Linked DNA regions of Canis lupus familiaris. The protein of the gene in region 1 purifies or fractionates together with the protein of each later gene. This does not show direct contact. Links are inferred from orthologs where the notes say so. Each region holds a gene or a part of one and is shown in the gene's direction. Other genes may lie near its edges. The genes, in order: VSX1, USP12 and WDR20.

Region 1 (9,953 bases):
CTGGGCCAAAGGCAGGCACTAAACCGCTGTGCCACCCAGGGATCCCTGATTTTTTTAAATTATTATTTATGATAGTCACACACAGAGAGAGAGAGAGAGAGAGAGGCAGAGACACAGGCAGAGGGAGAAGCAGGCTCCATGCACCCGGAGCCTGACGTGGGATTTGATCCCGGGTCTCCAGGATTGCGCCCTGGGCCAAAGGCAGGCGCTAAACCGCTGTATCACCCAGGGATCCCCTGGGGCCTCCTTTTTATCATTTATCTGGGAGATGCTTTAGGGCAAAACTGAAGGGAAAGTGGGGAAGTGAGGTGGGAATAGGTCCCTAGAAGCAGAGCTGAAGAGTGAGTGTGGATGTACGAGCTTTACTGGGGAAAGGGCTAAAGAAGTCTCAGGAACTAGGAAAGTCAGAGAAGAGGGAGGGAGCTGGGCAAGAGTGTGCTCATAGGTCCAGCTGAGCCTTGACCTGATCCTTCAGCAGAAAGAGGTTTGGAGCGGAAATGGCTCTGCAGAATTGTCCCTGGGGAGGCAAGTGGTAGTCTTGTATCACATCTACTGTAAGTCTGTCAAGCATTGTGGATGGGGGTGGGGGGTAGGTTAAGGCTTTTGTCAGCAGAGGGCAATTCTCATTATGAGCAATGATAAGCTGTTAGCCTACATTCACAGCAGCTGGAGGGAGGTGCCAGGGCCCAAGAGTGGGAGTCTGGGTGGGGCACCCATAGCACCTAGAAAGAAAGCAATTTGGGATATGATAATTAGCAAGTATCCCTGCTGGGGACCTTGGGAAGCAGAATAGAATGCACGCTTGAGTTATTTGACCCTAGGTGGTCCAGAGCTTCTTATGGCGTTTTAATCCTTGGCATCTCGGGTTAGTGGACAAAGTGGCCTCTGGAGACCAAAGAAAGGTCCCAGGCAAAGACGTGGGTGATTTGGCACTGGAGGTTGGGCAGGTCTGCAGACAGAATAGTCAGGCAGGGCACGAGATAGTGGACAGGGCAGGACAGTGTCTACGCAGCCTTTAAAGTGGGGGGGGGGGGGGACACAAAAGCAACAGAGAAGGAGCAGCCAGAGAGGCAGGAAGAAAATCAGAGGAGGAAGAGACCCACAGGGCTGTTCGCGCGCTCACATGAGCCACATTTTATTCACCCGTGCCCGTTCCTCTGCCAGCCTGGCCGGGCGCCTCCTCAAAGCCACGGCACGTCTCGGTGGAGCCACTCACACGCTGTCGGGTGCCAGCAGGGCGCTGAGTGGAGCCGCAAGCGCAGGAGGCCAGGGGAAAGGGGGCGCACCTTCCAGCTTGGCCCTCCACCCGGGCGGGAGACCTTCCCTGGAAAATAATGAGCGCAGAAATCCTTACTGATTAGTTAAATCCCGGATAATCCCGGCTGATGAAGACATATCCGGACCCCTTCACAGATTTAGGGTTCCGGGACCACTCCCGGGGGTGACCCGGGGCTCGGAGGGCTTGCAGGGGGCGGGGCCTGGGAGGAGCCTCCCGTCCACCCCGCCCCGCGCCGAGGCGTCCTCCCACCGCTTGCGCCCACGCGTAGACCCGCCTGTCGGGCGTCGGGGACTCGCAGGGTGAGGGCCGGCGCGGGGACCTTTTCCAGTCTCCTAGACTAGGGACGCGCTCTCCGCACTGGGCGGCCAGTCCCGCTCGCTGGGCGGCTTTCCCATCCCCGGTGCCCGGCCTCGGGGCCGGTTCCTCAGAGCTCCGGCGCAGGTCTGCAGGTCGAGTCCGCCGCCGCAGCTGGGCGTGGGAGTGGGGACCAGGCAGTGGGGCCCGAGGCGCTGTTGGGGAGGAGACAGTGCGAGTGTGCTCGGGCGCTGCGCTCCCGCCACTGCCACTCCGCAAAAAGGAGGACGGCCTGGTTCCATCCATCTGTCCAACCCGGTCCCGCAGGCCCCTTCCTGCCTGCAGGTGGAGCGGAGGAGGCGTTAGGGACGCTCCGGAGCAGGAATTGCAAGCTCCCCTTGGAGCTCCAATTCCGGCCCCCTCTGCTTTCTTTCAGCTTCGCTTTCCCGGTTTCTCCATCCGTGTCTGGTGTGACCGGGGGGAATAAGCCCCAGTTTTTCACATCTGCAAAAGAGATTTTTTGTAAGATCCTTCCGAAGCGGTTGTTAACCAGTGTGCTCTTGGCTCTGTGCGGCGGTCCCCGTGCGGAGTGACCGAAGTGGGGCTCCTCCCGCCTGGCCTTTTGGTTCCTCCGGATTCCAGGCCACCCACTTGAGGCCGGTCCTCTCGGGATCACCTGCCTCCCCTGGCAGCGGTAGGGGACGGAGACTTCAGGATCCTAGCGTAGGCGAGGGGACGCGGCCACTGCAGCCTCCAGCTTCCGTGCGACCTTCTCCTTGCGAGTGACCCTGCTCGGGCAGATGGTCCCGCCTGTCTACCCCGGACTTGGTCTGCAAAATGTGTGGATCGTTAGGTGTCTTTCTAAACTGTGGTCCCAAATTCTTAATTACAAACGACTATTCTGCGGGACAGAGAGCTAGAGCACCTTGGCTGGGTCCTGGACCACCAATACCTCCTTCAAACCCAGAGATGGATTTGGGGAGAAATCCCCGGCGGAGCCAAAAAAGACGCAGGCATGTAAAACCGCCCCCTACCCCGAGCGATTCAAATGACAATTATCCCAAAGGAAACGTATTGTTTTGCTAATACCAGAAACAGCTTGTGTTGGGAGGGGAGAGTTGGGTCCTCCTTTAATAATGGAAAGTTAAGGGGATCCCTGGGTGGCGCAGCAGTTTGGCGCCTGCCTTTGGCCCAGGGCGCGATCCTGGAGACCGGGGATCGAATCCCACGTCGGCTCCCGGTGCATGGAGCCTGCTTCTCCCTCTGCCTATGTCTCTGCCTCTCTCTCTCTCTCTCTCTCTCTCTCTCTCTCTCTGTGTGAGTATCATAAATAAATAAAAATTAAAAAAAATAATGGAAAGTTAATGCGCAGCCTGCCGCAATTATCTTTATCGGAAGCCCCTCTTGTAATCTGCATGTTTAACTGAGGACCCACGCAAAGGTGCAGCGAGCCGGAGACCCACTTTTCCGCGCTCGCGCTCCTCTCCAGCGCGCGCAGGGAGCCAAGCAGAGTCCAGGTGGGCTGGGAGTTGCCACCTCCCTCGCTAGGTGACCTCAGGCCGCCCGGTTCAAGGGGAGGGACTGAGGAGATTCTATTTCCAGGATTCTGTTTGGGAAGGGTGGGCTCAGGTTTTCCAGCGATTCGGGTTGAGTGGACTCAAAAATTCCGGCGTGTGAGCCTGAGCCAGGAGTGGTTTACTCATGTGCTTTGTTTGGCGCCAACTTTAACAAATTAGGGAGTTTCACAGGAAAATCGGGTTTTCTCTGAATAATCATAAAATCTGACAGTAATTTGCTTCCGTGAATAGGGGTGCCTCCCAGTAGGCAGTTCTTATGTTCCAATTTACTCCCACCCGATTTAAAATTGCCAAATGAAATATTGATACATTCTTATACTAAAAATATATTCATTGTTTATCTGAAATTCAAATTTCACTGGACCTCCAGTACTTTTGTTTACTAAGCCAAGCACTCTTCCCGGTAGTCTTAGCCTGGTCCACTATACATCTGTCTTTCTCTCCTCTTCTCCTCCCCCCAGCTCTTGTGAGTTTTGCACCCATTACAGCTCAGCCGTTAGGGAGCTGGGGGTGACTTTGGCTGCAGGTAGAGTGGGAATGGATTAAATAAACATTTTCCACTCCATTCCCCTTGGAGATTTTCAGGGAAGTCTTGGCTCTGGGGGTGGAGTTGGAGGGCTGGCCTGTCTCACATTAGTGGTAGTGTGGCTGGGAACGAGGTCCTAGTCCTTTTAAAAAAATATATTTTTAAAGTTTTATTTGTTTAAGGAATGTCCACACCCCACCTGGGGATGAACTGAGGACTGAAGATCAAGAGTTGCATGCTCCCTTGATTGAACCAGCCAGGTGCCAGGAGGCTTAATGGGTAACTGGATCTTGGGAGGAGGCTCTGGAGCAGCTGTGATCAGGACTTCTTCTAGACAATCTGGAAGGATAAGGAAGACCACACCTCGGCCTGTAATATGCGGCTTTTAGAGAAACCTGCAGACAGCAGGGTCGTCCCCTTCCTCCTTTCCTCTCTTCGAGAAGGGTGTGTGTGTCGGGGGGAGGGTGGCTGGGGAGTGGGCAGGAGGACAGCTGGATGGGAGAGAGAAGGAGGTGATTGAGGGGACTGCAGCTGGGAGGGCGGCGACTTGGGGGAGGGAAACGGGTGGCGTCCCCATCTCGCAGCATCCGAGCCCCACTGATTGGAGCCCTCCTGGCCTCCGCGCCCGACGGCCGGTCCAGGAGTATAAAGCATCCTCTGAGCTGCGCCACTCGGCAAACGTGACCTAGAGAAGGTCCGGCCTCGCCGACTGAGAAGTCATGACCTACAGGGCCGCGCTTTCCGACGGGCGCCCCGGGAGCAGGGCACTAGTGCCCGGCGGCTCCCCCAGCGGCTCGCGCCCCCGCGGCTTCGCCATCACCGACCTGCTGGGCCTGGAGGCTGAGGTGCCTGCGCCTGCCGGCCCCGGTGCAGGATCGGGTTGCGAAGCCTCCGCCGCGCCCTGCGCGGGCCCAGGTCTCGGGGGCGCCTGCCTGGTGCGCGGGGCCCTGCCACTGGGGCTCGGCCTTCTCTGCGGCTTCGGCGCGCAGCCTCCTGCGGCCGCTCGGGCGCCCTGCCTGCTCCTAGCCGACGGGCCGTTCCTGCCACCCGGGGCGCCCGAATCTGCTGCCCCGCAAGCTCCAGGTCGCCCGCCCGCCACGCTCAGCAGCCAGAAGAGAAGCGAGAGCGTCTTGACGTCCGGTAATCAGGCCAGCCCATCTGGGTCTTGCTCCTGTTTGCTCGGCTTGGGGCCGTGTACGGGTAACTCACTGAGCCCGGTCCCTAGCATCCGGATCTAAGGGACGTCAGGACCCCAGAGCGTGGCCCCGTCCAGGGAGGCGTGTTCTCTCGGCCTTGCTCCCTGCCCCTTGTCTCTCCCCAAATCCCTGCCTCCCCTCCGGGTTCACCGGAGCACAGCGAATATCACCACCCCCCAGTTCTGGACCTACCAAGCGGGTCTCCTGAGGGCATAGGTCGGGGAGGCCGGGGCGTGCTCGTTTCTCACGAGCACAGCATCCAGGAACTCGCGGCGCTCAGAGCCAGGCTGGATCCACAGATGGAAAAGCACGGGCGGCCGGGGGCTGGAACTGTCCGCCTTCTGGGGTGCTGAAGGGGGAGTCGGGACTGCGCTTCCACTTCGCGCTGCCCTCCCTCCTCCGCACACGTGAGAGGGGAAGCAGCCTCGCCCGTCTCATTGCGCTGTGCTCAGCATTTCGTTCCGACCCCAGCTATTTCCTCAAAGACGTCGAGGCGGGTTATGGGGAAAGAGAAGGAGGCCATGAAGACTTTGCAAAGAGCAAAGTCAAAGAAATTGAGAGGTTTTGGGCTCGTGGATGAAAGAAAAAGAATTATACAAGAAAACGTGGACTGAGAAACTATATTGTAGAACCTGGAGCTGAGCATCCAGGCAGCCAAGGCAAAAAGAGAGTATATTGAGTCTCCACTGATAGTAAAAGTAAGCATGTCAGATCAGCAGGCAAGCAAACTTTTACTCTACTTTAAAAAATGTTTATTCAGGAGTCTCTGTGTAAGAGAAAATGAACCCTTCTATTAGTAATTTCACTAAAAATGCAGAAACTGCCCTCATAGGATGGGTTCCTTCCTCTGTGAGCACTGATAAAATGAAAGGCAAAATATGACTAGATCTTGTCAAGAGTGAGTTTCCTGGATCCCCTCCCAGAGACTCAGAATTGGTACAGCCGGGCAGGGAGTGCAGTTCTGGCAAGAGTTGTGATGTCAAACCTCAACTCCCACCCTGCTTAGAGAAATGTTGGTGTATTGGTTAAGATGAGGGGTTGCAGGTAGAAGGAGGTGAATGAATTTGGGAGCTGGAAGCTAAGTGAGATAGAGAATGCTATGAAGCTTCACGGAATCTAGGTGTGGATCCCAACCTCACCACGTACAACCTGTGTGATCTTGGGCAAGTTACTTAATCCCTCTGCACCTTAGCTTCCTCATCTGTAAAAATAGGATAATACTAGCAGCTACTGTGGAGTTCTTTTTATTTTATGAAGGATAACTGCAATAATGCATGGACAATGCTAAGCAGAATGCCTGGAATATACTGAGTGCTAAAAATGCTAGCATGTATTATTAAATAGTCACATCCCCCAACACATCATAACTTCAGTCCTCATATTGAAATCCAGAGAAGAAAGTGAAAACTCTGCTCACTTTTAAAAAAGATTTACTTATTTACTTGAGAGAAAGAACACAAGCAAGAGAGGGAGAGAGAATATCAGGCAGACTCCACATTGACTGAAGAGCCCAACATGGGGCTCGATCTCACAACCCTTGGATCATGACCTGAGGTGAAACCAAGAATCAGGGGCTCAGCTGACTGTGCCACCCAGGTGCCCTGAAAAATATGCTCACCTTTAAAAATAGTTTTTTAAAAAATAAAAGATAATGTGGTCACCTTTAAAGTGTTCTCTCTCCCCTGTGCTAACAGATGAGGACAGCCCATCTGAAGATAGGAGTGGCCTGAAGGCGTCCCCATCTTCAGGCAAGAGGAAGAAGCGGCGGCATAGGTATACAGCTAGATTGTCTTTCCTGACCCTTTGCTTAAGACACAGACTCTGAGAACCTATGGTGCTGCATTAAGGCAAGGCCCTGTGGCCTCCTGGCTGACACACAGCAGCAATTTGGGAACATAATTCTGCTATTCACAGGAGGCTACAGGATAATCTTTCTAGCATTTTATTTTTTAGTTTAATTTAATTTAATTTTATTTCTAGCATTTTAGAGACACAGGTTTGTGTACCTTTAAAATAGACCTTCTTAGTATTAGTTGATAGAATTCATCAAGGAGGGAAAATATGCTAAAGAACTCTGTTTTGTTTGAAGCAAACTTCTGGACTTTCCAGAGGCTAATCATTCAGAGGTGAGATATCCAGTTACCATGAGGTGGACTTTTAGGGTGTAGAAAGGCAGGCACAGGGTCTTCTAAGTCTGGGAAGCCTGGCAGCCTCCTGTGGACATGCACTCATGTGTGTGCTTCGGGTCTCCCTACAGGACTGTTTTCACTGCCCACCAGCTGGAAGAGCTGGAGAAGGCATTCAGCGAGGCCCACTACCCTGATGTGTATGCCCGGGAAATGCTGGCCGTGAAAACTGAGCTCCCTGAAGACCGAATACAGGTGTCTGGGGTCCCCTTTCTCTATCCCAAAGACATCACAGAGAACGTGTTTTTTTCACATATACACAGCTACCTCTGAACAGCCTAGCATGTTTCCCTTGACACACGAACTGCAGCTCACCTAGCTGAGGGTACCACAAATGCTAGACTCATTCTGTATGTTTATTCCAAGAAGATATCCCCTGTACCCTGCATGTCTTTTTTCCTTTGTTAATTAATTCTTTAAAGTTGTAACCATCTCCATGTCATATATAATTGGCCCTGAATATGTTTATATCTATCTATATCTATATCTATATCTATATCTATATCTAATCTATATATCTATAGATATATGTACACTGACACAGAATTTTGTTCTTTGTTTTTACAAGAAGGTATTGTGTTATGCTTCTTAGCCTCTTTGCTTGACAAGACATCTTGGACATTTCTCCAGGTCAAAAGATAATGCCACCAACTCTTTTTTTTTTTTAAATTTATGATAGTCATACACACACACACAGAGAGAGAGAGAGAGAGAGGCAGAGACATAGGCAGAGGGAGAAGCAGGCTCCATGCACCGGGACCCCGACGTGGGATTCGATCCCGGGTCTCCAGGATCGCGCCCTGGGCCAAAGGCAGGTGCTAAACCACTACGCCACCCAGGGATCCCCCACCAACTCTTTTTTAACAGCTAATCAATATTCCACATTATTTCTTTATTAAGATAGTATTTTCAAAGAGAAATATTACTAACAAACCAACAACCTAAGATTACAAGGGACCAATGCCAGTATGAACTCTTTCCAATCAATGAGAAAAATCATGAAGCATAGTAGTCCACTTTCTTACACAATGTGGGAAAGAATACTTTGATTTTATTTTTGTTTTTTCTGGCTGTATGGAAAACCTCAGTGGAGGCCGATTGCACATTATCTTCACAATGATAAGTACCTGTGGGTTTTGAGTGACTGGTAGACACAGCTTCTGTAAGGTCTGGGACTTGAATGGATAGTTGGCTGTTCTTAGAACTCCTTGCTCAGGAACACCTAGGAGCTTCCTCTTTACTGTGTCTCCTCCTGTATACTCTTCTGCTTCCTGTCCTGCCTCACATCAGGTCTGGTTTCAAAACCGGAGGGCCAAGTGGCGGAAGCGGGAGAAGCGCTGGGGTGGCAGCAGCGTGATGGCCGAGTATGGGCTTTATGGGGCCATGGTGCGACACTGCATCCCACTGCCAGACTCCGTCCTTAACTCCACTGAGGGTGGCCTGATTGGTTCCTGTGCACCCTGGCTCTTGGGTAAGGAAGAGGACCCTGCAGCCAGTAAAATGGCCAGAGTTGCTGGGGGAGGGGCCAGGGTTCCCATGAAGGGCAGCCATTTGCTAAATCCAATCAATATAAATTTACTCAGATTTGGGCCCAAAATATCACATTGATTTTAATTAATTCAAAGGATTGAACTATGGTCAGTTGACTTGTTTTTTATTTGCACTGTGTAGACAGTGTGTGGAAAGATCACACCAGGCCTTGGTTCTAAGAGTGGAATGATATACTTGTAATATGTGAAATATATTTCCAAAATGTTGAGTGTGGTTACAACTTTTGGGAACCATATGATTTAGAGCTCATGATAATAAGAATGAGGACAGTGCTAAGCAGTGAAACTTGTAGGTGATTAACCCCCTACATACTAGAGCCAGGAGATCCAGGGTTTGGGTCCTGGTTCTGCCATTAACAACCTACTTTTCTGTCTTTTAGACTTTTGGTGCTAGAACAGTCTACATGGGTGAGGCTTAAGCTTTGGGGCTGGACATTCTGGATTTTCTGTTTGCTGTTACTAGAGACTAATGGGCAGGGATCACATCTTGGAGGAATGAGTCCAAGATAGCACCTGGGGTAGGGTGAGAGATTAGAGTTAGGTGTGTGTGTGTGTGTGTGTGTGTGTGTGTGTGTGTGTGTGAGTGGGCTTGTAGGTTGGTGAGGGGAGGTTTTTTGTTTAGCAGACATTTTTAAGAACCTACCAGCCATTTGCTGTGCAGTCACTAGAGATACCAATTATGGATATGGTCTTGACTTTGCCCTCAGAGACTGAAGAGACAGAATTTTGGGCAGGGAACCAAGCCTACCCTTCTGAACTTCCACACGCAGGTTAGGTGTGAGATATCTGTGCTTACTGGTACCTGCAGACCTGTGGCCCAGTGCTGCCAGACATTTTTACTTTCAAACAAGCTGAAAGTCTGGCTTTTGATGTGCGATCTCCTGATTTTAAAACATTGGCAGCAATTACATTTAAAAAATCACTACAATACCAAACAAGGCACCTTTGAAAGCTGCACTCCACAGGCAGATAATCAGATTTCAACCCCAAGTGGGGGTAGTTACCTACCTGGCTCCTCTAGAGGCCCTGGAAACAGGCACTGATGAAGATACTTCTAATGGGATTTAGAGAACAATGACAAGGAAGAGATTTACAAAATTGCTGAATTTGGAAATACCTATTCTTATTTTTTCTTTTCATTTTTTGCAAGGGATGCATAAAAAATCTACAGGGATGATAAGGAAATCAGGAAATGAAGAAAAGCTGGCAGGACTCTGGGACTCAGAGCACTTCCAGGAAGGTTCTAACCCAGGACAGGCAGGATCCCAGAAAGGCTCAGATGAAGCCAGCCCTGAGAACAGCTTGGAAGATGTGGCCATGGATCTCTCCAGCTCTGCCCGGCAGG
Region 2 (9,824 bases), on another chromosome or scaffold:
ACCAGAGGTTACTTAGCAGTCCTAGACCAAGATTCTTAGAATGACTGTATATCAGTGCGGAACCTCCAAATACTTTCTTAGTTACTTTGACAATTTCAGTCTTTTGGGGGTGTTGATCTGAAGGTGGGAGTAAGAAGGGGTAAAAGAACTATTTGTTTAGTGCCTACTCTGCCAGACATTGTTCTAAATCTTCTATACAGTTTTTAGAAACAGGCCATAAGGATATTGCCTGCCTTATTTTGCAGATTTGGAAATTGGAGCATGAAGGGGTGAAATATTTTGTTCTAAGTTCACACTTTGATTGTGACTCTATGTTGTTGCTATCTTAGAATTACAGTGTTTTAAATTTGGGATAGACCAGATAAGTCTGGTCTCTCTTACAGTGCTGATGAGAAAAGCAAGGTGGAGTGATTTTGGAAGATGACACTGTGGTTAACTCCTATTAGAACCAGAACAGGAACACAGGCTTCCTAATTACAGTCCATTACTCTGTCCACTGTGTAGCCCACAGTTGGAGTGGTTAAGGGCTCTCATTTTACCAGCATGTAAAGCTATAATGAAATAGCTCTGAAGAAAAATTCAAGACTGCTTTTTTAGTTGCATCTGTTTATGAAGGCTTTCCCAAATTCCTCAGCTCTCATAGTTGTTCCTGTCCTAATATCCTATAGTATGTGCAATATACTAGCATAGTTTGACATTTACTTTCTCCTCTGTAACTTTCAATTTATTTATAATAGTTTTCTACGTGTATGTCATCATGAAAAACCAATTTTTACTTCCCAATTGGATTATGACTTTGCAATTTTGTTTTACCCCTTTAAATCTTTGGTAGCATTGTATATATCAAAACTTTTTTGATTTAAACTTACAATGAAAATAGATTTTGCAGTTAGACCTAATACACACATACTTAATTATTGGAACGAAAGTTTTGCAAACTGTTGTTTACTTGTAAGGAGACATACCATGATCTTTTCTGTTTTACTTAAAAAGCAAATGGTTAAATCCACCACATTAATCTCACTATCCACTAAGTGGGTATTACAATTTGGCAGTCATGTTCTATAACTTTTTGTGCAGGGTTAGGTAGAAGGTAGGTATTCAGAATGTTGGTGAATTTCACCTTTTATAAAGGACTACTGCTTTGAGATGATTTTTATGATGCCTGTAGGAATGATTTTTTATACACATTTTTGTTGTCTCTGATGCAGTTTCAGGGACATGCTGTCTGCCAGGAGAGCAGGTGTGGGCTTCCAGCCTTCCTGTTCTTCATTCTCTTGTTTAAGATTCATGCTTCTTGTATTTTCTGTACTTTGAATTCATCCTTTCACTGCTCAGATACCCTTCGTCTCTCTTGTGTTCATATCCTCACATGGGCTCTTCCTGTTCCTCCAGAACTTTCTTAGTTTCCCAAGGTCACTTGATTGTCTCCTTTTCGGGAAGCCTTTCCTGCCTGTTTTGGCAGTTCTCCTTTGGGTACTGACCTGGTGTGACCCTTCAGTGTTACACTTGGAATGGTAAACACTGGATTGTAGATATGATTTGAAATATGAGAGTGGGGAAAAATGTATTTTATCATATTTGTTTTAAACAAGTCTGGGAACTAATAGTTCACTACAGTTGTCTAGTATAAAAAGACATTCTTGATAAGTATATTTTCTAGGTAGTAGATATTCATCCTTTTACAATTTACCATGTTTTATTCTTGCTCAAATGTATTGCGTTGTCTGTCTTCCTCATAAAGGCAGAATGGAGGGCTGTCAGGCATGGCTTCCATGATTGACCATATAAAATGATTTAATCAGAAGCAGCCTTCCCCTGGGTTATTTTCTTTTTTTCCTGTTTGCAGATGGTATCTTCAAAATGATAGATCAAAGGCATCCTTATAGTTTCAGGTTACTCTTCTTTCACTTGGATGGTTATTTTTTTGTCATGAAAAAGAAAGTTGCTGTACTTTCTAAGAATTCATAGTAGGTAGGTTTAAGGAGGCACTTCATGGCTTGCAAATTCTTGGATTGGATGAGTGTTTCTGAGGATGTGATAATATGTCCTTTTATTCAGAATTTAATGTTTGACCTTTAATAGATTATCCACCTGTTTTTCCTTAATGTCTTAATGAGATCACAAGAACCAATAGATTCACACATTACTAGACATGTGGGGATGGGAAGTACTATAGATTTTGAGGTCTTACATCCGAGATAACCGAGGTCCAGAGAGAGATGCATTTTGCCTCAAGTTGTTACACCTAGTTAGTGGCAAGGCCAGGACCAGACTTACGTCTGTAGCTTTGCTAGGTCAGTGCCATAATAGTGTACCGTGGTCTCACTACAGCAGCTCCACAACTGACTCATTCTTCCATGAAATATTTTCCGTAAAACATTTCCTATTTTTAATAAAATGTCAGTTTGAATTACTAGCATTATATTGACTAAAAAATACTACCTAGGGGTGCCTGGGTGGCTCAGTCAGTTAAGCGTCCAACTCTTGATCTGAGCTCAGGTCTTGATCTCAGGGTTGTATATACTTATTAAGTATTACCCACTATGAATCTTGTTTCTTAGGCACAGCCATTGAGTTTTTTCTTTTTTCTGACTCAATTAATTTATCTTACTAAGACTCTTTTTTGAGAGGTAGTGCAGCGATTTCCTGTATAGCCCTGCCCCTACGTGTGCATAAATAGCTTCCCTTATTATCAGCATCCCCCACCAGACTGGTATATTTGTCGTAACTGATGAACTACCTTGAAACATCATGATCACCTAAAGTCCATAGTTTGTGTTATTGTTTACTGTCGGTATACATTCTGAACAATCATTTTAGTATTTTAGAGAATATTGTCACTGCCCTAAAAATCCTCTGTGCTTTGCTCTTTCATCCCTACTTCTTCCCAGCTTCTAATTTTTGTTACTGCCTTCCATAGTTATCATTGAGTTTTTAGTTTCAATTATTATAATGTTTATATTTAGAAGTTTGATTTGGTTCTTTTTAAAAATCTGCTTAGGCTTTAGAGTCTTCTCTTTGTTCTTATGATCAAGCAATTGTTGTTTCTTGGCACATTTGTTTTTTGTTGTTGTTGTTAAAAGATTTTATTTATTTATTCATGAGAGACGCAGAGAGAGAGAGGCAAAGACACAGGCAGAGGGAGAAGCAGGCTCCATGTAGGGAGCCCGATGTGGGACTCGATCCCGGGACTCCAGGATCACACCCTGGGCCGAAGGCAGGTGCTAAACCGCTGAGCCATCCAGGGATTCCAGCACATTTGTTTTATATTGTGTCTTAAATAATTCTGATATTTAATATCTTGAGAGTCCAATTCTACTGTCGTCTTCTGCTGGCTTTTATTCATAGTGCTTTATTTTCCTATTGTTTTGTGTGTGTGTGTGTATATGAGTTTTGATTGTGAACTCAAATCTGTTGGAGTTTTATTTGTGGGAATTTTTGGTGGGGTGGATTAATTTCAACTTCCAGAGCTAGTTTGTAATTCTGCTAGTTGTGGGGTAAAGAGGGCACCATCAACTCAGGGTCTCTTTGAATTACATTATCTGCTTGGGCGGTTTTGTTTAGGATGATACAGCTTGCGTGGATTTGGGTTATAGTTTTTCATGAGGGTCAACTTGGGGTTATGAATTTTTGGAAGCTATCCTCCATCCTCAGTGCCAAGGACATGTCAGGCATGTTTCCTTGCTGCCTCCTCTGTGGTACAGGATTATTTCTTGCTCACCCTGACATGAAGATCCAGGTCTTTTTTCAAGCTCAGGTCTTCTGTTGGCCTTCCTTTCGTCTTGTTTTCGTTCCCTGCACTCCATTTCATTCAGCTGCCAGAAAAGAGTGTAAAGGTCACTCATGTTGACAAATACCCTCAGTGTGAAATGAAACCTCTTTGGCATTGCCATATCTCCCAGTGTGCTCCCATCATTTTGGTTTTTGTTTTCTGCAGATTCCTCATTTTCTCACTAGCTCCATCAATTACTATTTTTTTAATATTAAAATTCATCCATCTTGTTTTCATCAAGAGAGTCATGAATACCTAATTGCTTCTTTAAGATGAATTCTCTAGTAATAGATACTGAGTCTAAATAATCTTTTGTGTAAGTTATAAAAATAGAGACAGAACAATTAAAAAAGAGTGTCTTCTTCCTTCTCCCTGTGTCACATACTCCTACAACACAGTTGAATTCTGATACCTATCAAAGCTTTGGAGCAGAAATTCTTACCTGAGCATGCCACCATTTCTTTCCTTTATCCTGGTAAAAAAATCACTGATTTAATAACCCCTGTTAATTGTAGTAGGATCATATTTCTCAAGTGTAGAGATGGAGAATTGTTCAGAGCCATTACTATCGGATATTGGGGTCAATTTAAATTTGAAGAGTGCTTGGTTGTCCCTTATTTGACATGATAGAGTTTGTCAGCCTTCAACCAAATCTTCAAGGGATGACATTGAGAACTCTTGTAAAGATACTAAAAATTATACAGCCAACTTTTGGCTTGATGGCTGTTTTTCCCCAGCTATATCTAACTCTAGCGTTGAAAACCAGTCATCAGAAACTGAATTCCGTAGTTGCTCTTTGCCTTTGTAGTTCGCATTCAGCCAGAAGTAGAGATGCACTTCGATTGTTTCTGCTGAAAATCTTGAATTCATGCCATAGGAAATATCCTCCTGCACATTCACAGAGTCTGCTATACAGCATCATTATCATGGTAAGGTATATGTTACTATGCTGTACTTTAATTTAGAATGGTCCTAAAGTAAATTCCATTCTCTCTTTGTACTTTCTGTTTGGAGCTGCTATCCTTACTCCATCTATTGCTATAATCTCTCCCTGTTGAATTGTGTTTTGGGCATTAATTGTTTGATTTGGACTTCCATGGAGTTTTGTGTTATATAGTAAATGTCCTCAGAAATATTGGTGAAAGTGATTGGTAATGTTAAAATGTTGAATTAGAAGAGACTTCAAAAATTACCGAGTCTTAATTTTCTAAACATACGTAACTGTGAAAACCTTAATTTAGGCAAAGGATTACTTGAAAACCCAACACATAAACTTGGAGCTTGGGTTTTTGAAAATCAGTGAGGAGATTGACCCTTTTATTTTGCAAATGAAGCTTCTTAAATCAGAAGGGTTAAATGAATAGGGTTTGTGGCAGTTTCCATTTTATCACACTTCAGAGTGAAGTCTTCCCACACCTCTGATTGGATTGTGGTTTCGCTTTATTGTTAGCCTTTTGGGGAGTACAGTGACTTGACTGTACTGGGCCGCTTGGTGGAATTGCCCAGAGTGAGGAGATCAGTTTTTTTGGTGATGGCTATCTCATTTCTCCTTCAGACTTTTGAGAAGGGAACCAACATTCATGGGACACCTGTTTAGCTTATGTAACAGGCAGTGCCAGATGCTTTTACAGAGGTTTAAATTCCATTCATTCCATTCATTTGTACCTATCCTATGGAGTATTTGGTGATATTTTCCTTTTACAGTTAGGAAACTGAGGTGCAGAGAAGCTAATAATTTGATCCATAGTCAAATTACCTTGAGGATGCAGGGCAGCTAGAGGATCTAAGCAGTGCATGAAAGTATATGATGTATAGGGGGCTAATTGGGTCCTCTGGGATGGACAGAATACATGGTCTGTGGTATGTTTGGTATTATACTAGAGAGAGAATATTCACATGTTACTCTGTTCATCCTAAAAGCCAGAAATACTTTCCTGAGTTATGTGTATTGGAATCTTACTGTTCCACATAAATAGATGTAATAAGGTTGTATTTTCTTTCTCTTCCTCCTCCCCCATTCCCTCCCTCATCCTCTTCCCTGTTGTGGGGAAGGGGTAATACTTATTTGAATAAACTAATATCTGTTTGAATCCTTATAGTAGGTGGTAAACATTGGAGTTCATTGATACCTTTCAATGTATGGGAGAAAATTTTGTGACATGATAACTTGAGGTGGCAGGGATGGGAAGTGGGGCTTGCCATGTTCCCACCAAGACAGATTTCTCCAGTAGATCTTGAAGTCACTCTAATAATTGAATTTGATGTTGGTATAAAACGGCGGAAGGCCAAATTAGGTATAAATATTAGCAGTTATATCAAGGTTTTGTAAAAAACCTAAAATAAGTCTGAAATTAAAAATAAAGGCAGTATCATGTTTATATACACATGCTGGATGGCTGGAGGACATTAGAGGAAATATCTTGTTTTGGTAGAATTGGGCCACCAATCCACCAGGTCCCTTTAATCAGTACTTATAATCAGGAAATTGAGGATATGTTGTCTAACAAAGGTTGGGCTTCCCAAGTCCAGGAGTGGAGCTCAGTCAGGAAACAACAGGAGTGGGCTGAGCACGGAGGTGGTATGAACCTCATGTCGGTGACTTGGAGAGGCATAGTGTGCGTGTTGTCTTGTGTATAACTCTGCAGAGTGGTTTTGAGGTATGTTGTGAGTAATACCATATCAGTTTTATGTATCTGGTGATATGTTTTCTTGGGAATTTTCAAGTAAACACATCTAGAATTCTCATGTTTTCAGAGTTGTGTCATTTTCCTTTCTAGCTGTGTTTAGAGACCATTTAGTGTCATGTGCCAGTGCATGGGGGCACCCCACCCTCACGCCTGCCCCCAGCCTTCACTTTATTTTCAAACCTCAGTGCAGAGAGTTGAGTCAATTGTATTCCCGAGACCAGGACACACGATTTGTTTTCTGGGCAAGGCCCTTCTTTCGTTCGGCTTCATTTTAGTTTTTTCCTTTTTTGTCCTTCACTCGCAGTTTCATGTCCCAGGCCTCTTTCAGCATGCACTCAAGTATGCTTAATGTACATTCTTCAGCCCATTTGCCGTGTGCTTTTTTTTTTAACATATGTGGTTAATCTCATTTTTTTCTTTTTTTTTTAACATGTTTTTGAGAAGTAGTCATGCTTTTGTATGTAAATTTAATTCCATTATGCTGACTCTGCATAGTATGTTGTTGTGTATAAAACACAGACTCTCTAGATGGTTGTCAGCCATGCAGTCGTCAGTGCTACCTCACACAACATTCTTGGCACGTTGGGTTCCATATGGGGATTTTTCAGGCATATACCTCCAGAGAATTGTTTGGTCACTGAATATCTACATTCTTGGTTTCAGCTCTCCTGTTACAGTACATGATGCAGCAGCAGTTTTAATCCATTACCTAGGAAAAAAGTAACACATTATAGATATAATTTCTCCATCCATGCTTTGGTTTCCTGAGGAAATTCTTGTGAACTAGTTTTTAGTCATATTATTAAAATCCTTTGTTCTTGGGCAGCCCAAGTGGCCCAGTGGTTTAGCGCCGCCTTCAGCCCCGGGGTGTGATCCTGGAGACCTGGATCGGGATCGAGTCCCATGTCAGGCTCCCTGCATGGAGCCTGCTTCTCCCTCTGCCTGTGTGTCTGTCTGTCTGTCTCTCTCTCTCTCTCATGAATAAATAAAATCTTAAAAAAAAAATCCTTTGTTCTTCACTGTCATCCTTTTTTTTTTTTCTTTCAGTAATGTTAGGGAGTTAGAGGAAACAGTTTTTTAAAGGATGTCTCTATAATGCCTATGTAACTGAAAATTTTATGGAAACACTACAAATACTAAAATTTGTTTTTTTTTTATTTTTTATTTTATTTTATAGGGCGCCAATGCCTCGGCATTAGAGAAAGAGATTGGTCCAGAACAGTTTCCAGTCAATGAGCACTATTTTGGATTAGTCAATGTAAGTATCAATTGGTATTTAGCCTTCACCAGTATCACTGGAAAGAGTTTTTAAGAGTATTGTGTATTTGTATCAGTAGACTTAATGTCAAGAAACTTGTTTTGAAATTCTCTTTTCAATGGAAGGGAAACAAAGTTGCCTGAGGTCTTAAGAGCTTTAGAACAGTTTCTGACCTGACAGCCTGATTTTTCCTATTTTGTGTTAGAATTTTTCATAGCCAAAATTTTGTATGGCTTGTACCAAATGATCTCCTAAATCTTTGAGAATTCTGTAAATGTCTAAATGTAAGTGATCCGAATGTACAAGTATAATAAATAAACTTTTATAAATGCCTTTATGTGTCTGTATTTATCCACTTCTGGCATTGTTCAACTAGTATAGATATATGAGTGCAAAATTTAGGAAAAAGATACATCCCCAGTCCTTGTGGAGGTAGTTCTAGTAATTATACATCATTTAAACTTTGAAAGAACTTTCTTTAGAATTTTTAACTCTTTTCTGAATCATTGGTGCACACCATAGATCTATGTTGTACTGTGCTGTTAGGTAGATCCATGGTGAGGGTTTTAAACCACATATAGAGAGGTGATAATACAGGTGACTAAGTTCCATTGAACACACCAGTGTGTTACTTGCGACGTATGAGATTGTGACGTATGAGATGGATTTCTTGTGCGATTTGAGGAAAGTGGTTTAAGTGATATGGGTGTTTCCCCTTGCCCTGGAAGTCAGCTTGGGAGTATGAAGCTTGTAACAGAATCCACAGTGCCCCTCCTCAGAGGAGGCTGCATTCCTCTGCTGGCTATTTTTCCTGGAATCTACCCCTACATTCTAAATAAAGTGGCTATGCTGCTATTAAAAACAGTCTCCTAACTTCCTGTTATGGTAGGTAAGAAACTCTCTCCTACCACCATCCCTGCCCATTCTCCCGGTATGGAATTAACCATTGCTTTATTTTTCCATGTCCTTGGCAGCAGGCTTTAGTAATAGTTTCACCTCCTCCCCCACCACCCTCCAAAAGCAGTGGCGGGAGCATCTCCTCTGGGACTGTTACTTGGTGCCAGAAGTGGGGGAAGAGGGTAGGCTTCTTCAGTTTCAGTCTTGGGGTGGCTTGGTTCAGAGTTTTGTTGAGCCCTCTGTTCTCTGTTCCATGCCTTGATGCTGTCCTCAAGGGCTCTTGAATCACACTCTCCCTTGCAGGTGCAGCTTCTGGGAAACTAAACCTGTGGTTGAAAGAAAGGTTACATATCTAGGTGTCTAAATGACCCTTTTAAAGGCTTGACAGCCATACCTGTGTTTTTTAGGTGTACTCCTCTACCCCTACCCCCCATTTTTTTTGCCTTTTAATTTTTGCTTAATTTATTCTTTCACTATCATTGGTGTTTTGTGGGGAGAAGGGGAGTTAATTGAATATCTTTAATTTCCCTTGCTTAACATGATCTGACCTCTACCTCAGATATTTAAAATGTTTATACTTACGTACCCAGTTGTCTAGTGATCAGAAGCCTTGTGTAACTTCTGGCAGTGGCCAAACCCCAGCTGCTTCACTCTCATAAACTACTTCCCTGTGACTCCCACCCTTACTTTGGTTCATGCTCTAAAGCTAATGTGTGTCTTGAATTGTAGGAAGGGTGTGCTCGTTGATAGTGTCTCAGAAGAGTCCATTTTCTTCAGCACTGGAGTATTTTATATATTGAAGGTTGTTGTTTGACCTTCAGAACAACTAAAACAACATGCTAGAGAAAATCTTATTATAAAATGAGTTCTAAAAGTCTATTTTTTCCTGCTGTTACGTTATTTTTTTTCCTCTGATATATCACTTTCAGGATACCAGTGCCAATTGTGTTAAAAAAAAAAAAAAGATTTCTAAGAAGGTTTTATTTTTATTACTCCCCATGGATCAATCCAAATTAATAGGGTAGTATTTGTGCTTCTCCCTGAAGCTGACTGAGATTTAGTAAAACCCAAGAGAAGCGGGAGGGAGTGAAGTTAATAAGAGACCATTAGAGGAAGCTTTGTCTTTATCCCTTCCAGAGACTCATTTGGTAGGTAGAAATGTAGTTTCTGATCTCTGTGCCTAGTTATTATGATGAAGAATTGAGAT
Region 3 (9,818 bases), on another chromosome or scaffold:
GGGGCACGCCCTGTGTGCATGCTCTCCAGAGCGAGAGGGGAGAGAAAAGGGAGAGAGAAGGGGGAAAGAGGGGAGGGGGCATAAGCTGGGGGGTGGGAGAGAGCGAGGGAGAAGCAGATTTCCACAGAACAGGGAGACTGACTCAGGGCTTGATCCCAGTACTCCGAGATCATGACATGAGCCAAAGTCAGACACTCAACTAACTGAGCCACCCAGGTGTCTCTGTCTTGCTATTTTTTGAACATGTTAGGTACACTTCTGCCTTGGGAATTCTGTATGGCTCCCCCCAGATCTTCCCATGGCCCACTCCCTCACCTCTTTCAATTCTTTGCTGAAATGTCACTTTCTCACTGAACCTTACCTTGACCATGTTTTATCACAAACTGCAAACTACCCATCGTATTCCCAATCCCCCTTATTCACTCTACTACTTTTTCCTAGCACAATCACTATACAATTTACTAACTTGTGTTTATTGTTTATCTAGTCTTCTCCTTGCAAGAATATAAACTCTGAGTGATTTTGTTTACTGATGCATTTCAAAGGCTAGGACAGAGTGGCACATGTGGGCATCAAATAAATATTTGAGGGACGCCTGGGTGGCTCAGCAGTTGAGTGTCTGCCTTTGGCTCAGGATGTCGTCCTGGAGTTCCAGGATCAAGTCCCATATCGGGCTCCCTGCATGGAGCCTGCTTCTCCTTCCTCTGCCTATGTCTCTGCCTCTCTCTGTGTCTCTCATGAATAAATAAATAAAATCTTTATTAAAAAAAAAAACTATTCGAGGATATAAACAACTTTAACATGGTCCCTCGTATCTTAGAATGTACTTACAATCTGGTTGAAAGTCAGCATATATACACTGAAACTTAAATATCAACACAAGATAATTAGCATGAGCTGACAAATACCAAAAGAAGATAATTTTTTAGGATATTACATGTGACAAATGAAAACTCAGGAAAGTGGGCAGCCCTGGTGGCTTGGCGGTTTAGCACTGCCTTCAGCCCAGGGCATGATCCTGGAGACCCCAGATTGAGTCCTACTTCAGGCTCCCTGCATGGAGCCTGCTTCTCCCTCTGCCTGTGTCTCTACCATTCTTTCTGTGTCTCTCATGAATAAATAAAGAAAATCTTTAAAAAATTCAGGAAAGTACCACAGAAGTTTAAACATCTGGGGGCCCTGGGAGGCTCAGTGGGTTATGGATCTGCCTTCGGCCCAGGTCCTGGTCCCAGAGTTCTGGGACGGAGACTCACATAGGGCTCCCTGTTCAGTGGGGAGTCTGCTTCTCCCTCTCCCTCCCTCCCCTGCTCATGAGTACTCTCTTGCTTTCTCTCTCAAATAAATACAATCTTTAAAAAAAAAAAAAGCTTAGAGAGGTAATTATTAATATGGGGGGGGGGGTGCCGGGGTGGTTCAGTTGGGTGCTGGACTCTTGAAAATCTGATGAAAACTACACACTCCAATGATATAATGAACACGTACATAAAAGTTTAATACAATTACTAGGACTTCAAGCACTCCATGAAGCCAGCCATAATGCTGAATAGACAATCTTTGGTTTCAAGTATGGTTTTTAGGGTTGGAAAGGCTTCATGAAGATGATGAGACTTAGCTAGTTCTTAAAGAACAGGGTATGATAAAGCGGAAAGGAAAGAGGGGATCCCTGGGTGGCTTAGCGGTTTGGCGCCTGCCTTTGGCCCAGGGCGCGATCCTGGAGTCCAGGGATTCAGTCCCACGTCGGGCTCCCGGTGTGGAGCCTGCTTCCCCCTCCTCCTGTGTCTCTGCCTCTCTCTTTCTCTCTCTATATCTATCATGAATAAATAAATCAATCTTAAAAAAAAAAAAGAGGAAAGGAAAGGAATAGCTTTCTACGCCAGAGAAGGAACTAAGGGTGATGGGAGTACAGTTTGACTTGAATGGGGGATTTATGTAATATGTAAGAATAGGCTGTGAATTGCTAATTTAATATGATTATTGCAAGTCATTGAGAGTCTTGGGGTAAGAGAATATAATATCTAAGGTACTGCTTAAAAAATTAATTTGGTAGATGTTTACAGGAGGAAAGTTGAGAGAAAAACTAAAATCAAGGAAATCATTCATGAAGCCATTACATAAGGATTCAAGTTTGAGAATGGAAAGGAAACGATCAGGTTTAGAGATGGATGACTGTGAGGCACCAACCCATTCAGAAACGCCTGGCTTGACAGAGAAAATTAGAAATGAACTGTTTTTAGGTCAGGTCCTGTTATATAAATTTGGGTGTTATTATTGAATCCTTGAGAGTGTGTGTGGGAACGAGAGAAAAACATATTAAGAATAGACATTATTGGGACGCCTGGGTGGCTCAGTGGTTGAGCGTCTGCCTCTGCCTCAGGGCGTGATCCTGGAGTTCCAGGATCGAGTACCACATGGAGCTCCCTGGAGGGAGCCTGCTTCTTCCTCAGCCTGTGTCTCTACCTCTCTCTGTCTCTCATGAATAAATAAAAAAATCTTAAAAAAAAAAAAGATATTATTGAAAAGCTCTGAATAGGACAAAAGGGACAGCCTATTATTGTGATAATATGTTGAACTTACATAGAATAAAACCTTAACAGAAAACCTGAGGTATTATTAATTGTCGTTAATTATGGTTAATTGAAGGCTAATAAAATTTGTATTAATTTTTGCTTGCTGAGCTTTTTCTTTTCTTCAAAAAAGTATGCTTTATTCCCCCTCTTGATAACTAGGGAACACAGCTGAATTATTATTTTTTCGATTTTATTTATTTGAGAGAAAGACATGAGCGAGAGCAAGAGTGGGGATAAGGGTGGGAGAGGGAGAAGCTGACTCCCAGCTCAGCAAGGAACCCAAGAAAGGGCTCCATCCCAGGATCCCTGAAATCATGACCTGAGCGGAAGGCAGACACTTAACCAACTGAGCCACTCAGGTGCCCACACCTGAATTATTTTTAGAGGATTCCAGACGTCACTATCCCTCAAGGGTCTCATTATAAATATGTATTTTCAATGTAAAATAACTTAGGAAATTGGAATAAATCTGTGGTGACTGCAGCACACATCCTGGCAATTTTAAGACTTTTGATATCTATTTGACTTTTAGAGAAAGGCAGAGAACATAAAAACAATTACAACCACAAACTGTAGCTATTTTAGGGGTCTATTAATTAAATAGGACTTTGCTCTAGTGTTTTTTTTTTTTTTGCCAACACGAACAACGGATACAGGATGTTGGTGTCAAAGGCATTGTTACATCATTGGCAGTACCTACTTGCCTTGTAATACATAAGATGTTTGTGATTCAGGACTCCTCTACCTCCATCTACTAATTTTGCGACCCTCCAGCTATGATTTGAATTTAAAGAAATAGTTCAGGGCAGGCGGGTGGCTCAGTGGTTTAGCACCTGCCTTCAGTCCAGGGTGTGGTCCTGGAGTACCGGGATCGAGTCCCACATTGGGCTCCCTGCATGGAGCCTGCTTCTCCCTCTGCCTCTCTCTCTCTCTCTCTCTGTCTTTCTCATGAATAAATATATAAAATCTTAAAAAGCGGGAGGCACCCCGGGTGGCCCAGCAGTTTAGCGCCTGCCTTCAGCTCAGGGCCTGATCCTGGAGACCCGGGATCGGATCGGGTCCCACGTCGGGGCTCCCTGCAGGAAGCCTGCTTCTCCCTCTGCCTGTGTCTCTGCGTCTCTCACAAATAAATAAATAACCTCTTTTTTTTTTTTTAATTTCAATAAAGACATAGTTCATTCTCGGTGTAACAAACGTCGGCTTCCTCCACCCTGTAATTCTCCCAGGAAATTTCTGTCGCTTTAGAAACTTTATGTGCAACCTGCCAAGGAAACCCAGCTGTAAGATAGTGACTGTCTAATCCTCGACCCGGGCGCCTGTCCTTCCACATCTACATCTAGCATAGCGTATGCACACAACTCTGCGTAGCAATCTGGCAGGTCCCACTTGAGCTGGTTTTTAATTTTTTTCTTTTTCACCAGTGGCCTCTAATTGTCAAGCTACTGCGCATGAGAATAGAGCCTCGGGCTTCCCCTGGGTCTCTGGTTCCGAAAGCCGCTGCCCGACCCGACGCTCCCTCTTTGCTCCAAACACCTGGAGAGGACACACTGAAGCAGCGGAAGCGCCAGCACAACCTACTTCGCCCGACAGGCCGCCGGAGAGCCGACCTGCAGAGACACGCGCCAGGACCCACGTGTGCACCCACGTCCAGGGCGCTCCCGCCCCTTGCCCCCGCCCCCCCGCCGCCGGGACGCGGGGCGCTCAGGGCCCTCGGTACCTTCTCGGAAAGTGGCTCGGGGAGGCGCGGAGGGGTCCCCGAGCGTCGTGCGGGCTGGCGCGGGGCAGCGGCCCCCAGCTTCGGGGAGCCCCCGCCGTGCCCCGAGGCAGGACGCCGGGGCTCCCCACGTGCCCACCGCGTACGGGGGCGCGGCCCTCTCCCTCCGCTCCTCCGGGCTGCGCCGGCCGCTCCAGGTCACCTCTGCGCTCGCGACCGCAGCCCCGCCGCGGCGTCTGCTCACCGGCGGGGCGGGTGGCGGGGAGGCGGCGGCGGCGGAGGCAGCCGCGGCGGGGGCGGAGGCGGCGGAGACGGCGGAGGCGGCGGCCTACCGCCTCACCTGCACCGCCCGGGGGCCGCCCCGAGGCCGCGCCCGGGGGCGGGGCCTGCGGACGCCCAGCCGCGCCGGGCGCGCCAGGTGAGCGCGCCTGCGCAGTGCGGCCGTAAACAAGCCCGCCCCTGCCCCTCGGCCGGCCTCCGCGGGGCCGCCTCGCGGGTGGGCGGGGCCACGAGGGAGAGGCGGGGGGCGGGGGGAAGGGACGGCGCCTGCGCGGTGGGCGTGATCCGGGCACTTAGGGCAGGATGAACGCTGCTTTCCAAGATGGCGACGGAGGGAGGAGGGAAGGAGATGAACGAGATTAAGACCCAATTCACCACTCGGGAAGGTCTGTACAAGCTGCTGCCGCACTCGGAGTACAGCCGGCCCAACCGGGTGCCCTTCAACTCGCAGGGATCCAACCCCGTCCGCGTCTCCTTCGTAAACCTCAACGACCAGTCCGGCAACGGCGACCGCCTCTGCTTCAATGTGGGCCGGGAGCTCTACTTCTATATCTACAAGGGGGTCCGCAAGGTACCGACCCGGGCGTCACCGGGGCTCGCCAGCGGCGTGGGCGGGGGCCGCGAGCAGGGTGGTGACAGTGGGGGCCGGGGTGACCGGTAGGGGCGGCGGTCGCTCGCACTTCGGAGTGGGCCGGTAACTCCGCTGGGGTGCTCCGGGGGAAGGGGGATTCGCGAGTAAGGACGGTGGTGCTGCCAGGGGGTGGGGGCGGTGGGAGGGGCCCGCGGGGTGCGGGGCTGGGTCCGGGAGGCCCGACCGGGCGCCGGCTGCCTTCCCCCTCGCAGGGTCCGTCGGGCTCCGACACGGCCAGGGAGCGGGCCTGCGAGTCCCCGGAAGAGGTGGGGTGGCCGTCGCGTCTGCCTAGACTGCCTGGCCTCCCGGGAGAGTTGGGAGCCTCGCTGCGGGGTGGGAACGGGGGCGCCGGGCGGCTGGGGAAGGTCTGCAAGGCGGAATCCCGGCTGGAAGCGGAGGACTGGAGACTAGGTCAGGAGGGACCTGCTCGGCACCGGGGGCTACTCCACCTGCTACCGCACTGACACTTCCTAGGAGCCTCTCTCTCTGCTGTTGACACTTTCCCCAGAAACCTCGGAAGGAGGACTGGCTGTCACTTTTCTCTGCCGGAGAACCTTCTCCGGAGAGATTAAGAGGGGTCATTTTGGCCCTTACAGAACGGAAAAGACTTATAGTTGGCAGGTCGAAGTGATGTTTTCAGTGATCTAAGCTAGGTTCATAGGGGTTCTGTGTCAGCGTGCCCGGATCATTCTTGTCCAACAAGTCAGACTGTGTCCCAAAAGAGGGAGGGATATGCCTTAAAAGCTACTTTACAAGAATCCTTTTTTTTTTTTTTTTTTTTTCCCCTTGGCGGGCGACTTAACATTAATTCTGTGAAGCATGTAATCATCCTTTAAAAATATCTCTTCGAAAGAAGCAACTTATTAGAGCTTTTCCTTTATTGGCTGTGTAACTCTGTTCTCCTTGAGTACTGCTTACTTTTGAGAGGTGGTCTTTGACTTGGAATTGATGTGTCCCCACAGTACCTAAGCCTGGAGAAAGGTGGCAACGTTCATTTACAAGTGTTTTTTTTGTTGTTGTTGTTAGTGCGAAAGCACATTGCCCGTATTGAAGAGCGAACATTCTCTAGGATGTAATCTATCCAGATGCAGTAAGTTTTTGCTTGGTTTCAAGAACTAGGACGGGACAGTAGTATCCAGAGGTAGCAAGCGGTCTCATTTGTTCAAGGTGCATCTTTTTTTTTTTTTGGTGAGTGTTCATGATAAGCCTTCTACTGTGATTGAGACATGGTGTTATTACTGAAAGTAATTCCCTTCAGTTCTTTTTTTTTTTTTTTTTTCTCTCTCTCTCTCTTTTGGAACTGGGAAAGTGTGAAGTAGTTAGTAGTCCAGGAGCTGAAGTTTTAGTACTGCTCTCAACTTTTTTGCTGACTTGTTGGGTGACTTTGGATGAGTTTCTTTAATTCCAATCTGCTCCTCTTTAAAAAGTGAACATTGCAGTACTCACGTTGTAATTTTTAATATAATAGCTGTAATGAACTTTAAAGCCTGAAATATTTGGTAGGTGTAAAATACAGTTAAAATAAGCATTAAGAGTAACTGTCACACGGGAAGCTGCTATCCTGCCATTTATACGAGGACTGAAAGGATCAACTTTTTCTCTGGAAATAAGTTTAGAATTTTAAGTTACTAACACTTGTATAAGATTTTAAACGTGCTGAATAGCTAAATTTACCAACAGTTACTAGTTTCGACGTTACCTTTTTTATAAGAAAGTTTTCTTTGAAAGTGTGTTATTTCTGAGGCATTCTCTAGTGGCAGACCTTATCTGGACCTGGTCGCCTTGGTTTGCATCATAAAACAGATCTCTTGCTTGGAAGTATCATAGTTGTGTTCTCGTAGTGGGATGCTATTTGACGAAGGTTAAAACAAGGAGAGCTTTTCAGAACCACACTCCAAAATTATTTTAAACAAGACAAATCTTAAATATGTAGATTTCTTTTTAGCTGTATAATTTATTTGGGTGCTAACTTTTTTTTGGTAAAATTTCATTTACATGCAGTGACATAGCATTGTATGGTGGACATTTTAGTTCTCTTCTAGCCATTGTAATTCTTTTAGAAAAATTGTTTTCCATGAAAGAGTTTGCATGTATTTATTGTTATTTTTGAGTATAAGTGCTTGTTTTTAAGACTGTCTTTTTTGATTTTAAAATAGAGCAGATAGTTTTTCTTACTCAGGAAACCGAAATTTACTTTTTGAGGTTAGGAGTTATAACTCTCTTCTTGACAGTTGGTCATTTTGACTGTTTTTATTAGTTTTTTTTTTTCATTGGGGCATACAGAGTTTTACAACAATCATTTGGATTATTCAGAAGGTCTAATATGGATGCATACATTCAATTTAAATGTAAAATAAGTGAAAAGTAAGTCTTTGAAAAACTTAAGTCATTTATTTTTATTTTTATTATTTTTGTAAGATTTTATTCATTTATTCATGAGAGACAGAGAGAGAGAGAGAGACAGACAGACTCAGGCTGAGGGAGAAGCAGGCTTCCTGAAGGGAGCCTGATGTGGGACTCGATCCTGAAACTCCAGGATCATGCCCTGAGCCAAACGCAAACGCTCAACCCCTGAGCCACCCAGGCGACCTGAAAAACTTAAGTCATGAACTATGTGCTGCCATTCCTGAAGGGAAGTATGGAGTCATGGAGGGAGTGGAGTGAATGAGGAGGTAGTCTCAAATGTGAGTCAAGGAGTGTATTCTTGGCCCTTTAAAAAGATGTGCAAGTCCGTTTCTAGAGCTAGAGGGGACTTTTGAGTTTTGCAGTTTCACCCTTTTCCAGAAAACCAAGGCTAGAGAAGGAGTAACCTGTGTTACAGTTTTTTTTTTTTTTTTTTTCTTCTCATGGTCAGGAAAATGAAGCACAACTGAATCTAAAGAGCTGTCATAGTGAGAAGGGACTGATCAAGCTTTTTGATCGCACGGATGCCATATCCTCCAAGCATTTCAAGATCTGCCCCAGCATTTTGCCATTTATTATCTCATCGAATCTTGATAGCATTCCTGTGAGGTACAAGAAAGCATCTTCTTTTCACAGTTGAAGTTTGGGATGGAGTTACTTGTGTAAGGACATGTAGTTTTGTGAATTTATTTTGCTTACCTGAAGATAATCTGAGTATTTATTTATTTTAAAAGATTTATTTATTTATTCATGAGAGAGAGAGAGAGAGGCAGAGACATAGAGAGAGAAGCAGGCTCCTCACGGGGAACCTGATATGGGACCTGATCCCAGTTCCTGGGATTACGACCTGGGCTGAAGGCAGACACCCAACTGCTGAGGCACCCATGGGTCCCATATGAGCATTGATTTAATATGTTAATCATTTCAGCAAATATTTGAGTGACTATAATGCTAATAATTATACAAGGTGGGGTATCTACAGTAGAGTATGACCCTATCCCTCTCTCCAAAGAACTTATCAATTCTTAGCCTTTAAACCTTCTTATAGAATACTTGGCCTTCCTTTTTTTAAAAAAAAGGTTGTTTTGGGATAAAGATGCCAAAGGTAGCTGGGTTTATTGGACCAGTGCTTTCATTTTATGAGATGTTTTTATATAAATGTGAATGGCCACCATTCAGATCTCAGCTTAAATGTCACTTCCATAGCATATCCTGCTTTGAATTCCCAGGCTAGATCAACTTTCCTTCATATTCTCATAACATCCTGAACTTTGCCTTTCTAGCACATTTCTCAATTTGTAATTCTCTGGGTGATAATCTGTCTCTTCTATAAACAAAGATTGCTTAGAAGAGAGACCATGTGTTTTCTGCTTTCACTGTTTTCCTAGCACCCAGCAGAGTGTCTGGCATGAGGTAGGCCCTTACTATTTATTTGTTGGGTGAATGAATGGGTAAAGCATCAGTGTCCATCTATACCATACTCTTAATTAATTAATTAATTAATTAATTAAAGTAGGCTCCATGCTGGGCATGGAGCTCATCGCAGAGCTTCAACTCACAACCCTGAGATCAAGACCTGAATTGAGATCAAGAGTGAAAGCTTAATGGACTGAGCCACCTAGGCACCCCATATGCCATACTTTTAAAAAGATCTCTTCAAGCCAAATAACCTATTTAATTTTGGTCTCCCAAATAATGGATATTTTTAGTGGCTCACATCTTTGTAAAGACATTTTGCTTTTTAAATATTTTATTTATTTATTAGAGACACAGAGAGAGTGGCAGAGACGCAACACAGACAGAGGGAGAAACAGGCTCCATGCAGGGAGCCACATGTGGGACTCGATCCTGGGACAGGGATTATGCCCTGAGCCAAAGGCAGCTGCTCAACCACTGAGCCACCCAGGCGTCCCATTTGTAAAGACATTTTAAAATTATTGTTAGTAGGTAACAAATTTAGCTTTCTTACAACTGGGAAATTGTGTAGCAAGAGACCATGAAGTAATGGAAAGTAACCAAATGACACGTTACTTTTAATCTATTTCTGTCACAACATATTACCTATCAAAATTTATGGGGTTTTTAATTTATTTTTATTTTTTAATGATTTTATATATTTATTCATGAGAGACACACAGAGAGAGGTAGAGACACAGGTAGAGGGAGAAGCAGGCTCCACGCAGGGACTCGATCCTGGGTCTCCAGACCATGTCCTGGGCTGAAT

What was found.
Region 2: the proteins of VSX1 (region 1) and USP12 purify together in Homo sapiens (affinity purification with mass spectrometry; 3 studies listed by BioGRID and IntAct, counting the BioPlex papers as one, with this or other methods). This does not show direct contact. The link is inferred for Canis lupus familiaris from reciprocal best matches to the Homo sapiens genes VSX1 and USP12.
Region 3: the proteins of VSX1 (region 1) and WDR20 purify together in Homo sapiens (affinity purification with mass spectrometry; 3 studies listed by BioGRID and IntAct, with this or other methods). This does not show direct contact. The link is inferred for Canis lupus familiaris from reciprocal best matches to the Homo sapiens genes VSX1 and WDR20.

The regions. Positions count from the first base shown.
Region 1 is NC_049244.1:1,440,188-1,450,140, reverse strand, and holds the start of VSX1 (visual system homeobox 1), read left to right. Parts: upstream 1-4,395; coding exon 4,396-4,816; intron 4,817-6,566; coding exon 6,567-6,645; intron 6,646-7,129; coding exon 7,130-7,253; intron 7,254-8,348; coding exon 8,349-8,529; intron 8,530-9,758; coding exon 9,759-9,953. UniProt on the Homo sapiens protein: Binds to the 37-bp core of the locus control region (LCR) of the red/green visual pigment gene cluster. May regulate the activity of the LCR and the cone opsin genes at earlier stages of development. Dispensable in early retinal development.
Region 2 is NC_049246.1:12,491,504-12,501,327, forward strand, and holds the start of USP12 (ubiquitin carboxyl-terminal hydrolase 12), read left to right. Parts: upstream 1-4,479; 5' UTR 4,480-4,494; coding exon 4,495-4,704; intron 4,705-7,639; coding exon 7,640-7,720; intron 7,721-9,824. UniProt on the Homo sapiens protein: Deubiquitinating enzyme that plays various roles in the regulation of the immune response and inflammation.
Region 3 is NC_049229.1:70,549,981-70,559,798, forward strand, and holds the start of WDR20 (WD repeat-containing protein 20), read left to right. Parts: upstream 1-4,813; 5' UTR 4,814-4,882; coding exon 4,883-5,131; intron 5,132-5,275; exon of another isoform or gene 5,276-5,295; intron 5,296-5,437; exon of another isoform or gene 5,438-5,457; intron 5,458-8,045; coding exon of another isoform or gene 8,046-8,234; exon of another isoform or gene 8,235-8,256; intron 8,257-9,818. UniProt on the Homo sapiens protein: Regulator of deubiquitinating complexes. Activates deubiquitinating activity of complexes containing USP12. Anchors at the base of the ubiquitin-contacting loop of USP12 and remotely modulates the catalytic center of the enzyme.